Linked DNA regions of Schizosaccharomyces pombe. The protein of the gene in region 1 interacts with the protein of each later gene in a pairwise test. Each region holds a gene or a part of one and is shown in the gene's direction. Other genes may lie near its edges.

Region 1 (4,132 bases):
ACAGTAAAAGATAAACCCAAAAACCAAGTCCTTGAAAGAGGATACCAAAGATAACCATATTTTTTAATTGATGAGCGGGTTGTGTAGAATTGACGGCGCCAGCAATGACACCACAAATCATAGGAGGGAAAATAGGAAGAATCCAAGCAGGAGATGCGGTTTCAATGGTATATACATGGTTGTTGAAAATTGTAAAAAAAGCCATTACGCAGTATATAAAGGATACTGCAACGTAAATGTAATAAAGGATTCGAATGACCCACACCATCCACTCGCCGGTATCAGGATAGGCGTATATGGCAAGCATGTCGATGAACGTGGATATTGAAAGAAGACAAGTAGCAATGAAAAGCTTTTCCAAATGATGGTTCCAGGAATCCTTGATAGTTGAAGGATATTTAATAAAGCGAAAAAGCATGCATGATCCAAAGAGAGAAAACAAAAAGATTTGAAGAATATAAACAATTTTGCCAATTGTATTAAGACCATAAAATCGAAAGGGGAAAGAACCAATAATCAAACCAACACCACCAGTTGCCATAGTACATGCAAACCAAGACCATGTAAAATGCTTCAGTCGTTGACTGAGAGGGACATGAGGGGCTTTGACATTCCAGTCAAGCAACTCATGATACCTCTGTTTCAAGATTTCCTTGAGTTCACCCATGTCGAATCGAGAGATAAAGGGGAATTAAAAAAAAAAATAGTGGCCAAGAGAGAAAATGAAGAATGAATATAATATAATATAATATAAGGAGAAAAAGGAACAAAAAGGAAAAGACGGAGGAAGGAAAGAGACAACCAATTGCTAGCAATTTATCTGTGAGTCTAATCGCACATGTTAGTTATCGTGATGAAAATAAAAAATGATAGAGAGTGTAAAAAATGAATGACTGGCTGTTGCTAGTCTTAGTAAATGAGGCAAACTGCCGATACAGAAGTAGGATGAGAAATCAAACAAAAAGTCTAGTGCAGCAACAAATAAGCTTATTTTGTGTAGCAAACAAGTAAAAGAAAACAAAAATAGAACAAACAAATAGTGATCAACTTAGAAATCAACAAGAAAAGATGCATACAAATCCAAATTTCCAAGATTTTCGAGGGGCAACTTTCTACCAACAGATTGCAACGTTGATCCTCATCGCAAACAAACTGGCACTACACAACAAAAAGCCAAACTATACAGTCATCCTACAAAACAAAAACTTACCGATGGACCTGGCCAACCCAACAACTTCAGCAATGAATGACTGACTGGATAAGTCAAATTCGAGCCACTATATTTATATCTCTTGGAAGCTTAACGAATTTAACCAACCTGCTGTCAAATGCACAAACCTTCGCTAACCTTGTGAGAGTGGAGATAGCAAAATTTTTTCTTTTATGCCGAGGAGATGCTAATTATGCTGCTATGAAGTCGGTCAAGAGTAAATCTGGTCCTTATATGACGCAAGCTAGATCTAGATTAATGCTATAGGCATACGAAACTTTGGTATTAAAAAAAAAAAAAAAAAAAAAAAAAAAAAAAAAAACTAACTCAGTATAACAATATTGACAATAATAATATACCGAACCTGTGGTGTTTTTCCAGACTTGGCATCATAATAATTGGCCTAATTTTTCTGCAGGTCAAAGGTGCTTTTGGGAAGGGAAGTTCCATTTTCTCTCAATAGGCCACGAACTCGGTCTTTCAATTCCCTGCATTTTTGTATCCGCTATCGCTAATGTGGGTCCAGTAACAAGGGAGTGTGATTTTAGAGTCAGTTAGATGGAAAAGCTATCATTTACTGCCTAAAAGCAGTTCGAAATCTCGGATCTACGAACTAAGAAGCCGAACGGCTCATTCGCGTTATCAACGGGTATCTATGTATATAGACGGATCGTTACCCGTGATTATCAATAAACGGATCTTAGCTAGTATTCCAACATATGACATATAGTGATACGCAACGTAGTGTATCATAGCGTAGAGTAGTATTGCTGACAACTAAAGTATTTTGCGAGCGTGCGGTACAACTCTGTAATCATAAGAAATCAACTCGCAATATTAGTCTCAATTGTACACTCTCCAACAACCCACATATCGAAATGGAACAGAAACCGGAAGTTGATTACTCAGAGAAGTTTGCAGAGTTACAAAAAAGTTTAAATAACCTTAATACCATAGACATCGTACGTAAAAATCAAAATTTTGACTAATCTCTAACTTGTAATTGTAGGATGCGAACCTCGAGAAGCTTTTGATTTTTGAGAAGCAAGTTCGTCAGGCTTCTGACACCAGCACGAATACGAAAGTATTAATATACATTGCTGATTTGCTCTTTCGAGCTGGTGATTTCCAAGGCTTAAACGAACAGTTGGTTAGTCTCTTTAAAAAGCATGGCCAACTGAAACAATCGATGACAAGTTTAGTCCAACATGTAATGACCTATCTTCCTGGAATTGACGATTTAAAAACAAAAATTAATTTGATTGAAACATTGCGTACTATTACTGATGGAAAGATATATGTGGAAGTAGAAAGGGCACGTCTTACACAACTGCTTTCCCAGATTAAAGAAGAGCAAGGTGACATCAAATCTGCCCAGGAGATCTTGTGTAATGAACCAGTAGAGACTTACGGATCTTTTGATTTGAAGGAAAAAGTTGCATTCATTTTGGATCAAGTTAGATTATTCTTACTGAGGTCTGATTACTACATGGCATCTACTTACACGAAGAAAATAAATGTTAAGTTTTTTGAAAAGGAAGACGTCCAGTCTTTAAAACTTAAGTATTATGAGCAAAAAATCCGAATTGGTTTGCACGACGATGCATATCTTGATGTTTGTAAATATTATCGAGCAGTTTATGACACCGCCGTGGTTCAAGAGGACCCCGAGAAATGGAAAGAAATATTAGAAAATGTCGTTTGCTTTGCCTTGCTTACTCCTTATGATAACGAGCAGGCAGATCTTCTTCACCGAATTAATGCTGACCATAAACTAAATTCTCTTCCTTTACTCCAACAATTGGTTAAGTGCTTTATTGTCAATGAACTAATGAGATGGCCCAAAATTGCCGAAATCTATGGAAGTGCTTTAAGGAGTAATCCTGTTTTTGCTGAAAATGACGAAAAAGGTGAGAAACGTTGGTCTGAACTTCGTAAGCGAGTCATCGAACACAATATTCGTGTAGTCGCAAACTATTATTCCCGCATTCATTGCAGTCGTCTAGGAGTGTTGTTGGATATGAGTCCTTCCGAAACAGAACAATTTCTTTGCGACCTTATTGCAAAGCATCATTTCTATGCCAAGATTGATCGCCCAGCTCAAGTCATTTCATTCAAGAAATCTCAAAATGTGCAAGAGCAATTGAATGAGTGGGGTTCCAATATTACTGAACTTCTTGGAAAATTGGAAAAGGTAAGACAGCTTATTATAAAAGAAGAAATGATGAATTCTATTCAACAGGCGGTAGCCAAATAAATTGTTCCGTCTCTATTTCATTTCGTTACTTTCATGACTTTGTCATTTAAATAATATACTATTGGTTCAAAGGCCTTCAACTTTTTTTACGAGAATACAATAGTTTTAATGTCGAATTGCAACCTCGGAGAAAGTTATTCTAGTAAGTTTGTAGTGATTTTCGTTGTTATTTGTCTCGTAACTAGAAGGTTAACTTGATGAATTATTTTAAATAAATTATTGTAGTTCACTCAATATGTAGTCCCTTAATTTTTATTTCAGTTGAGTTTAGTTAAAAGATTGCCATTGGTATCATATCTGGCCTCAAAAAAAGTATAGCTTAGAAGAATATCGTCAATATCCTTCATATTTGGATCATCAGCAAATTCTGGATCTATAAAGAAAAACACAGGCAAGTCTACTTTTTCATGAGCATCTAGCTTTTGCTCTTCAAAGCAAAAGCATGCAACCTTTGAGAAGTAAACAGCGGCTTGACCTGGTACTATATTATAAGTTGCAACTCCTACTATGTCATGGTCGGACGTATTTTCAGCAGTATAAAACCCTAGAGCAGTCTCGCCTGGAAGAACATATATTTCACGCTGCTGGGGCCAAAGCTTCCAGCTAAGGTTTCCTGCAACGTCGCCATTGAAAGTAACTCTGATTCTTTTATTGTCTTTACGAGG
Region 2 (4,140 bases), on another chromosome or scaffold:
GTATCTGTTATGAACCGTTTTTGTAGACGTTCTATAGTGCGTTATTGAAGTGATGCTAATAATGTGGTAGAACCTATTGTCTCGGCAGATGATGCCAAAGGAGCACAGGGTAAAGGGGCCGATGAAAAAGAGGAGAAAAAGGGTAAGTATTGAAGCGTTGATTTTGATAAAATTCGTATTAATCATGGGATTGTTCAGAAACCATTCAACCCCCTGAAGAAGTAAAGACTGAACCCCCTCAACCTGAAGAAAAGGAAGGAAAGGAGGCCAAGGAACCTGAGGAACCTCCAAAGGAAGAAGCTGAGGAACCCCAAGAAGGAGGGGAAGAGGAAGAAGAAGAAGAAGAAGAAGAAGAAATTACTGATCCTTTGGAAAAAATGACTCAAGGTTCGCTTATTTGAATGGGTGTACTGTTTCTTGCTAACATTTTTTAGAATGCATGGATGCACCAGATTGCAAGGAAGTGAAACACCATTTTGAAGAATGTACTGCCCGTGTTACAAAGAAGGTAGAGCAGGGCGACAAGTCTGAAGACTGTATTGAAGAGTTTTTTCATCTTTACCATTGCGCTCGTGATTGTGCCGATCCTAAAGTCTTTAAGGTTTTGGTTTAAATGCATTTAACGCTTGGTAAGGTCGAACGAATGGAATTATATGATTCAATTTTAGGAGGCATTCGTAATACTACCTTAATGTTGGTATCTATTCCTAAAATAACATTCCTTTTTTTATGTAAAAAATGGATTAAGATGATTCCCTAACGTTTTGTAGATGATATCGACCTACGTTAAGGTAGTAAATTTAGTTTTCAACTTTCGATTCTATTTTTATATTCCAATAATTTTTCGGTTTATAGAGCGTACATTAGATAAGTAAATGATGACCGGTAATCCCAATAGTCTTAGTACACTTACTTTGAGGGTATTATGTGAGTTACTAAAGTTTGAAAACTATTTAGAGGTTTTTGCTTACCGATTTGTCCCTAGGACGCTCAAAGGAAAGGACCGGGTTTACTGATTTAGTAGTAGGGTTGTATCAATACAGAAATAAATTACGAAATTTTATTATGGGACCAGGAAATGTTGAAATGACTTGAACACTTTAAGAGTTGCGGGTATTTAGGAAGGAAAAGCATTACATGCTTAATAATCCTGTTCCACCTTTTTTATTATATTTTATATAAAAGAGAATTGAACATATATACTACAAAGGCTAATGCATTAGGAAAGAAAATACAAAAAAAAATAATTCAGGAAATAACTTTTTTTGTTTCGAGTGACTTTCTGCACCCTTTTTTGCTTTATGTAGAAAAAAAAATATATATATATATATATGTATTTTTTTTTTTTTTTTAATTGCTCCCATAGTATCATATTAATTGGGAGTATTGCAGTTGCAATAATCAATTTATAACCCGGTCATAATCCGAGAATTTATAATTGCGCCTAATACAAAATAACAATTTGATAGATTTAAATTTACTCTCAAGCGATCTGTATATTTTAATAAATTTATTTGGTTTTGTAAATATCAATGTACGATTTGCCTAACCACTTTTCCAATTTTCCACAAAAACAAGGCACCTATTCAGTTCATACTAAAAAAGATTAGGAAATTTTTCAATGGAAATAGAGGGAAATAGTATTCACACTTACTAATGCTATAATTTAAATCGGTTTTTACCAAGTAAATTTCTTAGCAATATTTGCAGAATTATAAATCAGGTAACATTGCGACTTTGGGTGGCCTCTAGGTTAGTATAATGTGTCGAATATACCTGTACCTATACTGAACCAACTACAATGCCACCTAAAGAAGATTGGGAGAAATACCAAAAGCCAGTTGATACGGAAGAAGAAAATGATAAAAATCCACCACCTTTAGACGAAGGAGACATCGAGCTCTTAAAAAGCTACGTAAGTTACATTAATGATTGAATTTGTCACCAGCAGCATACTAAATGTCAATGTAGGCTACAGGCCCATATGCTAGAGAATTAGCAGCTATTAAAGAAGATACAGAGGCTGTGTTAAAAAGAATTAATGATACTGTTGGTATGTTTTATGTCGAGAAAGCAGTTGCACGATGTTGTCTGATGAATGGCGTTCCTGTAGTTCATATAGCTGATATGAACTACAAGATATGACATTCATGAACAGGATGTATTTTTACAATTTTTTATCATGTAAAATGCTCTCATTTTATATGAAATTTGCTTAACCCGTTGTTCTATTGCTAACTAGCCCTAGGAATTAAGGAGTCTGACACTGGTCTAGCACCAATTTCATTTTGGGACGTTGCTGCGGACCGCCAAAGGATGAGTGAAGAACAACCTTTACAGGTTGCCAGATGTACCAAAATTATTGAGAATGAACAATCTGCGGAGAAAAATGCATATGTCATTAATTTGAAACAGATTGCAAAATTTGTTGTCAGTTTAGGTGAACGAGTTAGTCCCACCGATATTGAAGAAGGGATGCGTGTCGGTTGTGATCGTAACAAATATGCTATTCAGCTTCCTCTTCCTCCCAAAATTGATCCTTCAGTTACTATGATGCAAGTTGAAGAAAAGCCAGATGTTACTTACGGAGATGTGGGTGGTTGTAAAGAACAAATAGAAAGACTTCGCGAAGTCGTCGAGCTTCCTTTACTATCTCCCGAAAGATTTGTTAAGCTTGGTATTGACCCTCCCAAGGGTATTATGCTTTATGGACCACCAGGGACTGGTAAGACACTATGTGCTCGTGCTGTTGCCAATCGGACTGATGCAACTTTTATTCGTGTAATCGGTTCCGAGTTGGTTCAAAAATATGTCGGTGAAGGTGCTCGTATGGTTAGAGAATTATTTGAAATGGCACGAACTAAAAAAGCATGTATTATCTTTTTTGACGAAATTGACGCTATTGGCGGGGCTCGCTTTGATGATGGAGCAGGTGGTGATAATGAAGTTCAAAGAACAATGCTTGAATTAATTACCCAGTTGGATGGATTCGACCCTCGTGGTAACATTAAAGTTCTGTTTGCGACCAACAGACCAAATACCTTGGATGAAGCTTTGATGCGTCCCGGTCGTATAGATCGTAAAGTTGAGTTTGGTTTACCTGATTTAGAAGGTCGTGCTCATATTTTACGCATCCACGCTAAAAGTATGGCGATTGACAAGGATATTCGTTGGGAATTAATTGCACGGTTATGCCCTTCACAAACTGGTGCAGAGCTTCGTTCTGTATGCACTGAGGCTGGAATGTTTGCGATTCGTGCTAGAAGAAGAGTTGCTACCGAAAAGGATTTCCTTGACGCCGTTCAAAAGGTTGTAAAAGGTAACCAAAAGTTTAGCAGTACTGCTGATTATATGAACATGAGCTCTTAGATAATTTCCTTTATTACGCCATTCTTTATGAGATTTCATAGGTTTATCCCGCAAATGAATTAAAAAACTTCAAAATTTTGTTGCCTGGTCACTTTAGCTGTTCGAACTAGAAACGTATTAGAAAGCTTTGTTTGATATCTTATGTAATAAATGACAGGTTGCAACGTTGGCATGAAAGAAAATTTCGTTCATTATACTACACGTATGTGCATGAGTGTATGTATGTAAATATATATATTTATACATTAAACTACCATATATATCAACTGATCATTAATATAAGAACGTGGCATAGCTGCTTTACATGATGAGTGGAATGATTGACAAACATGCCCAGGTTAAGTTAAATCAAACTGACTCTTCGTCATCATCATCTATCTCATAATTTTGAAGGAATGCCGCATTTTCAAATTCACCATTCGTCGGTGTAGATCTTATAAACAGTGACCGAACGCTTTGGTAAAGAGCGGAAAAGAATATTGGAATTGATGAAAAAGCTCCTCTTGTGTACGATATGCCTGATTCCAAAGGATTTTCAGTCGCTGAATCAGAACCAAGTCTTATAGCACCTTTAAGGAAACGACGAGAATAATAATAAAGAATGCAACCAGCCACTGCAGCCAGCAGGATAGAGAATATAATAGTCAAAAAGATACTCCATCCTCCAGGTTTTGGATGAGCTTTGTAATAATCATCTTCTTTGCCGGGACATGGATGAAGCGTTCCAGCGTCCAAAGGTACCCCACCTTCACATTCTGTTAAAGGAGTGCG
Region 3 (3,747 bases), 2.9 Mb from region 1:
TTTCCCTTAGTGGTTTGGAATATAGGTTTTTAATAATATTATAATTTATAAAAACTTTGCAAAACACTTTCTAAATAATATCCAAAAAAGTTTATACTTTCTGTTAAATTCATACTTCGATCTCCAGGCTACAACTTTATCTACTGTAAAAAAAGCTGAATAAATTAACAGCGAGTACATACACATTTGGATATGTGTTTAGGAAATTCATTGTTTTATATTATTAGATAAAATTTTACACTTATTTATTCAGCTCATATAACCTGCATGTTCGTGCAAGCAGTGGAAGTGGTTGATATAGCTCTACACTATTTCAATTCATTCTACATTCCGCTTACCCAACAGCTGTCACATCGAAAATAACGCTTCAGCATATTGCTAAACGCGTATTGCAATTTTCAAGAAATATACTTTTGACGAAAAAACATGTACTAGCGGATTTTTTCTTTAACTCTTGATGAAACTAAAACTGTTTCCATTTCAAGCTGCTGGTCATGGCCAAGTACTAGTCAGTGAGGATGATAAAATTCTAATTAAGCCATGCATTAAAAGTGAAGTTGATTTTTATAAAACATGTAACGACAATATTACGCTCTACAACTGGATTCCTAAGAATTTCGGTGAGTGGATGCCTTCTAGTAGAGACATTGAGGGTATCAACCCGATCGCAGAAAGTGTTGCTTTTTCCTTAACTGGAAAAGCTATAATCTTAGAAAATATTCTGTATCAGATGGAAACTCCTTGTGTCATGGATATCAAATTAGGAAAACAGTTGTGGGCCGATGACGCTCCTCTTGAAAAACGAAAAAGATTAGATGCCGTTTCCAGAAGTACGACGAGTGGTAGTCTTGGATTTCGTATAACTGGTATATTGTCGTGGGACAGAACAAACAATACGTACATTAAACGATCAACAGCTTGGGGTAAAACCCTTACGGATTCAGATGTCGTAGAAGGCTTAAATGATTTTTTTGTCTCTTGCTCTCTTTCTCAAAAAGCAAGGTTGGTTGAAAGCTTCCTTAATTTATTGAAATTATTTGAAGTTGATCTTTCTGAGTCTTATATTGAATTAAAATCTTCTAGTATTCTTTTCGTTTATGATTACTCTTCCCTAAATCCAACGTATCATTGTGAAAGCAATGTAGTTCTCAAGCTGATAGATTTGGCACATTCTAGATGGACGAAAAACACTATAGACCATAACACATTAATTGGGGTTAAAAACTTAATTCACTGTTTTGCGATGCTCCTGAAGAATGAATAATTGAATACTGACATGATAAATTCCTTTAAAAGAAAAGTAATTTTTTTAATCATTGCTGGTTAAAGCTAATTAATTTATCTGTATAGTATTCCACTATAACTATTATAAAAATGATACCTTATTTATTTTTTTGAGTGATCGTGAAGTATTGATTTGTTATAGAAAAGAAAATAATTTTTATTCTTCGTTTATTTTATGAAAATTTTCAGAAAGGTTATCTACCCTTTTTATTTTTGGTAAGATAAAGATCTTATTCCACAAACGAACTACTTAAAAAACAGTCAGTTTTCTCTTAATAAAATAGTTCGTTTACTTATAGAAGTTTGCTTTATACCTTGCGTTGTTTTCATAGAGGTTACTAAAGCATGCTTTACTTATATGCTTTCAAATACGCTTTAACTTTTTTTTTAATAATAATTTTAACTAACATAATGAAAATAAAATAAATATGCTTATATTTCTCCATTTACCTAAAGTTTCAAACAGTAGTAATATGACTTGAGCACTTGCCATCAGCAAACAACTACTCCACGAAGGATTTCATCATGGATACCGAAATGTCTGTCAATATGTCTGATTTTTTACACGATCAAGCTACAAGAGCTCCAGAAAGCCTTCAGCAATCCTATATTTTAATGGAAGACCTTTATGAAAGGAAGTATGTTGTAAAAGTGCTTTAGAAGAAAATGAACTTTACATTAACTGACGCCAGATTATGGAAACAACTTACAGATGCTTTGATTGTTTTCTTTGATACCCCAGAAACAGTACCTTTAAGGCTTCCTTTGTATACGAACTTTGTCAACTCATTTCGACCTAATATCAATCAACTCAAAGCAGTGTACATGGGCTTAAAGGCTTTTGAGTCATGTTCTAACGACGAAGCCCTTCGTAATTTAAACCAAATTGTTAACGAATTGGATGAAGAGAAATATAAAGATGCCTATGTATATTCCATTGTTGCCATTGCTCGCATCAAGCTGATTAGTGGTAAGTTGGATGAAGCCCGGGAACTACTTGTCAAAGCCTCAAAAATTATCGACCACATTGATTACGTAGAAAGTCTTATTCATTCTTCATATTATAGCGTCAGTGCAGACTACTACAAGGCAAAGGCTGATTATGCTCAATACTATCGTCATTGTCTATTGTATTTATCTTGCATCGACCTCGATAAATGCTCTCATACCGAGTTAGTTGAAAGAGCGGTGGATCTAAGTGTTGCCGCAATACTCGGTGATATTTATAATTTTGGTGAATTATTATTACATCCTGTTTTCGAGTTGCTAGTAGGTACACAGCACGAGTGGTTACATGATTTAGTCATCGCCATGAATGTCGGAGATTTACCTTTGTTTGAACGCTTAATGGGGCAAATTAACAAAATGCCTTTACTGCAAAGTTCGGTTGCTTTACTAGGTCAAAAAATTCGTTTAATGGCCCTCATTGAGTTGGTCTTCCAATTACCTCCAAATCAGCGTACTTTAACATTTGATACAATTGCTCGTGCAACCCGTATTCCTTCTAATGAAGTTGAGTTACTCATTATGCGTGCTTTAAGCGTAGGGCTTATAACAGGTGTTATAGATGAGGTTACCCAAATTGTCACCATTTCTTCCGTCCAATCTAGAATTTTAAATCACTCGCAAATTGCAAGCATGGAATCTCGTCTACGAGAATGGAACCAAAATATTAAGAACCTTTCTAATGTGGTTGAAATTTCTGGAAAAGGTGTTTTCGTTTGATGACTACAAAACTCATTGTTTAAAAGACAAGACATGCTATAAAGTAAATAGAACTATTTTTCTATACATTATTATACATTTCAGTGTAGTAATTTTATTAGTTGTAAACATGGTACGTAATTTCATTCTCCTTAAGCAATTGTATTCAATTAGTATTCAGAATTCAAGCTACTTAATAAAAAACCCAATTGAATCCATGAATGGCTATTAATGTTAGATCAATAATATAAAAAAAAACTTACCCCTAATGTGCCATAAAACCCGACTAATTGAAAACCTTTTGGGACTAAATAGCTTTTCAACCCACCCCCGTTAGCATTTCCATAAAATGGACTTGTTTTACCATTTTCTAAAACAATGGATATCCCATCCACCCAGGCTCCACAACGTATTTGAAAGCCTACAATTTGGGAGCCTTGTATTTCAAAATCGTGAGGGCTTCCACCACGGTTACCAAGAAGAACTGATTCATCACCAAAAAATACTTCAATTCCATCCAAAGCTAAACCACAATGAACACGAATTTTAGTAGGCTTAAACTTTTCAGGTGCTATTAAAATATTTGATAACTCTTTCCCATTACAACCTCGCAAACCATATCTTTCAGATCGATAAACAGTTCCAAAAGACGATTCAACCTTCGCATTTTTTATAATTTCAGGTACATTGTTTAAATCAATACATTTGAAATTTCTGGATAGAACGCGAACACGATAATCTTGATTGGAGCTTGCATTT

Evidence for each region.
Region 2: the proteins of rpn502 (region 1) and rpt1 interact in a two-hybrid assay, tested with the Schizosaccharomyces pombe proteins (one study listed by BioGRID).
Region 3: the proteins of rpn502 (region 1) and rpn9 interact in a two-hybrid assay, tested with the Schizosaccharomyces pombe proteins (one study listed by BioGRID).

What each region holds. Positions count from the first base shown.
Region 1 is NC_003424.3:4,908,832-4,912,963, reverse strand, and holds rpn502 (19S proteasome regulatory subunit Rpn502), read left to right. Parts: upstream 1-2,088; coding exon 2,089-2,172; intron 2,173-2,219; coding exon 2,220-3,467; 3' UTR 3,468-3,597; downstream 3,598-4,132. Other genes in the region: plasma membrane malate/succinate:proton symporter Mae1, read right to left, coding at 1-667; rsm22-cox11 tandem protein cox1102, read right to left, coding at 3,725-4,132. UniProt on the Schizosaccharomyces pombe protein: Acts as a regulatory subunit of the 26S proteasome which is involved in the ATP-dependent degradation of ubiquitinated proteins. Required for proper proteasome assembly.
Region 2 is NC_003423.3:4,341,030-4,345,169, reverse strand, and holds rpt1 (proteasome regulatory subunit Rpt1), read left to right. Parts: upstream 1-1,789; 5' UTR 1,790-1,801; coding exon 1,802-1,915; intron 1,916-1,971; coding exon 1,972-2,053; intron 2,054-2,248; coding exon 2,249-3,369; 3' UTR 3,370-3,547; downstream 3,548-4,140. Other genes in the region: qcr6 (ubiquinol-cytochrome-c reductase complex subunit 8), read left to right, coding at 71-142, 199-387, 435-613; vacuolar protein sorting receptor vps10, read right to left, coding at 3,718-4,140. UniProt on the Schizosaccharomyces pombe protein: The 26S proteasome is involved in the ATP-dependent degradation of ubiquitinated proteins. The regulatory (or ATPase) complex confers ATP dependency and substrate specificity to the 26S complex.
Region 3 is NC_003424.3:2,042,033-2,045,779, forward strand, and holds rpn9 (19S proteasome regulatory subunit Rpn9), read left to right. Parts: upstream 1-1,775; 5' UTR 1,776-1,809; coding exon 1,810-1,922; exon of another isoform or gene 1,923-1,976; coding exon 1,977-3,009; 3' UTR 3,010-3,127; downstream 3,128-3,747. Other genes in the region: arg82 (inositol polyphosphate kinase), read left to right, coding at 458-1,264; SPOM_SPAC607.06C (metallopeptidase), read right to left, coding at 3,178-3,213, 3,252-3,747. UniProt on the Schizosaccharomyces pombe protein: Acts as a regulatory subunit of the 26S proteasome which is involved in the ATP-dependent degradation of ubiquitinated proteins.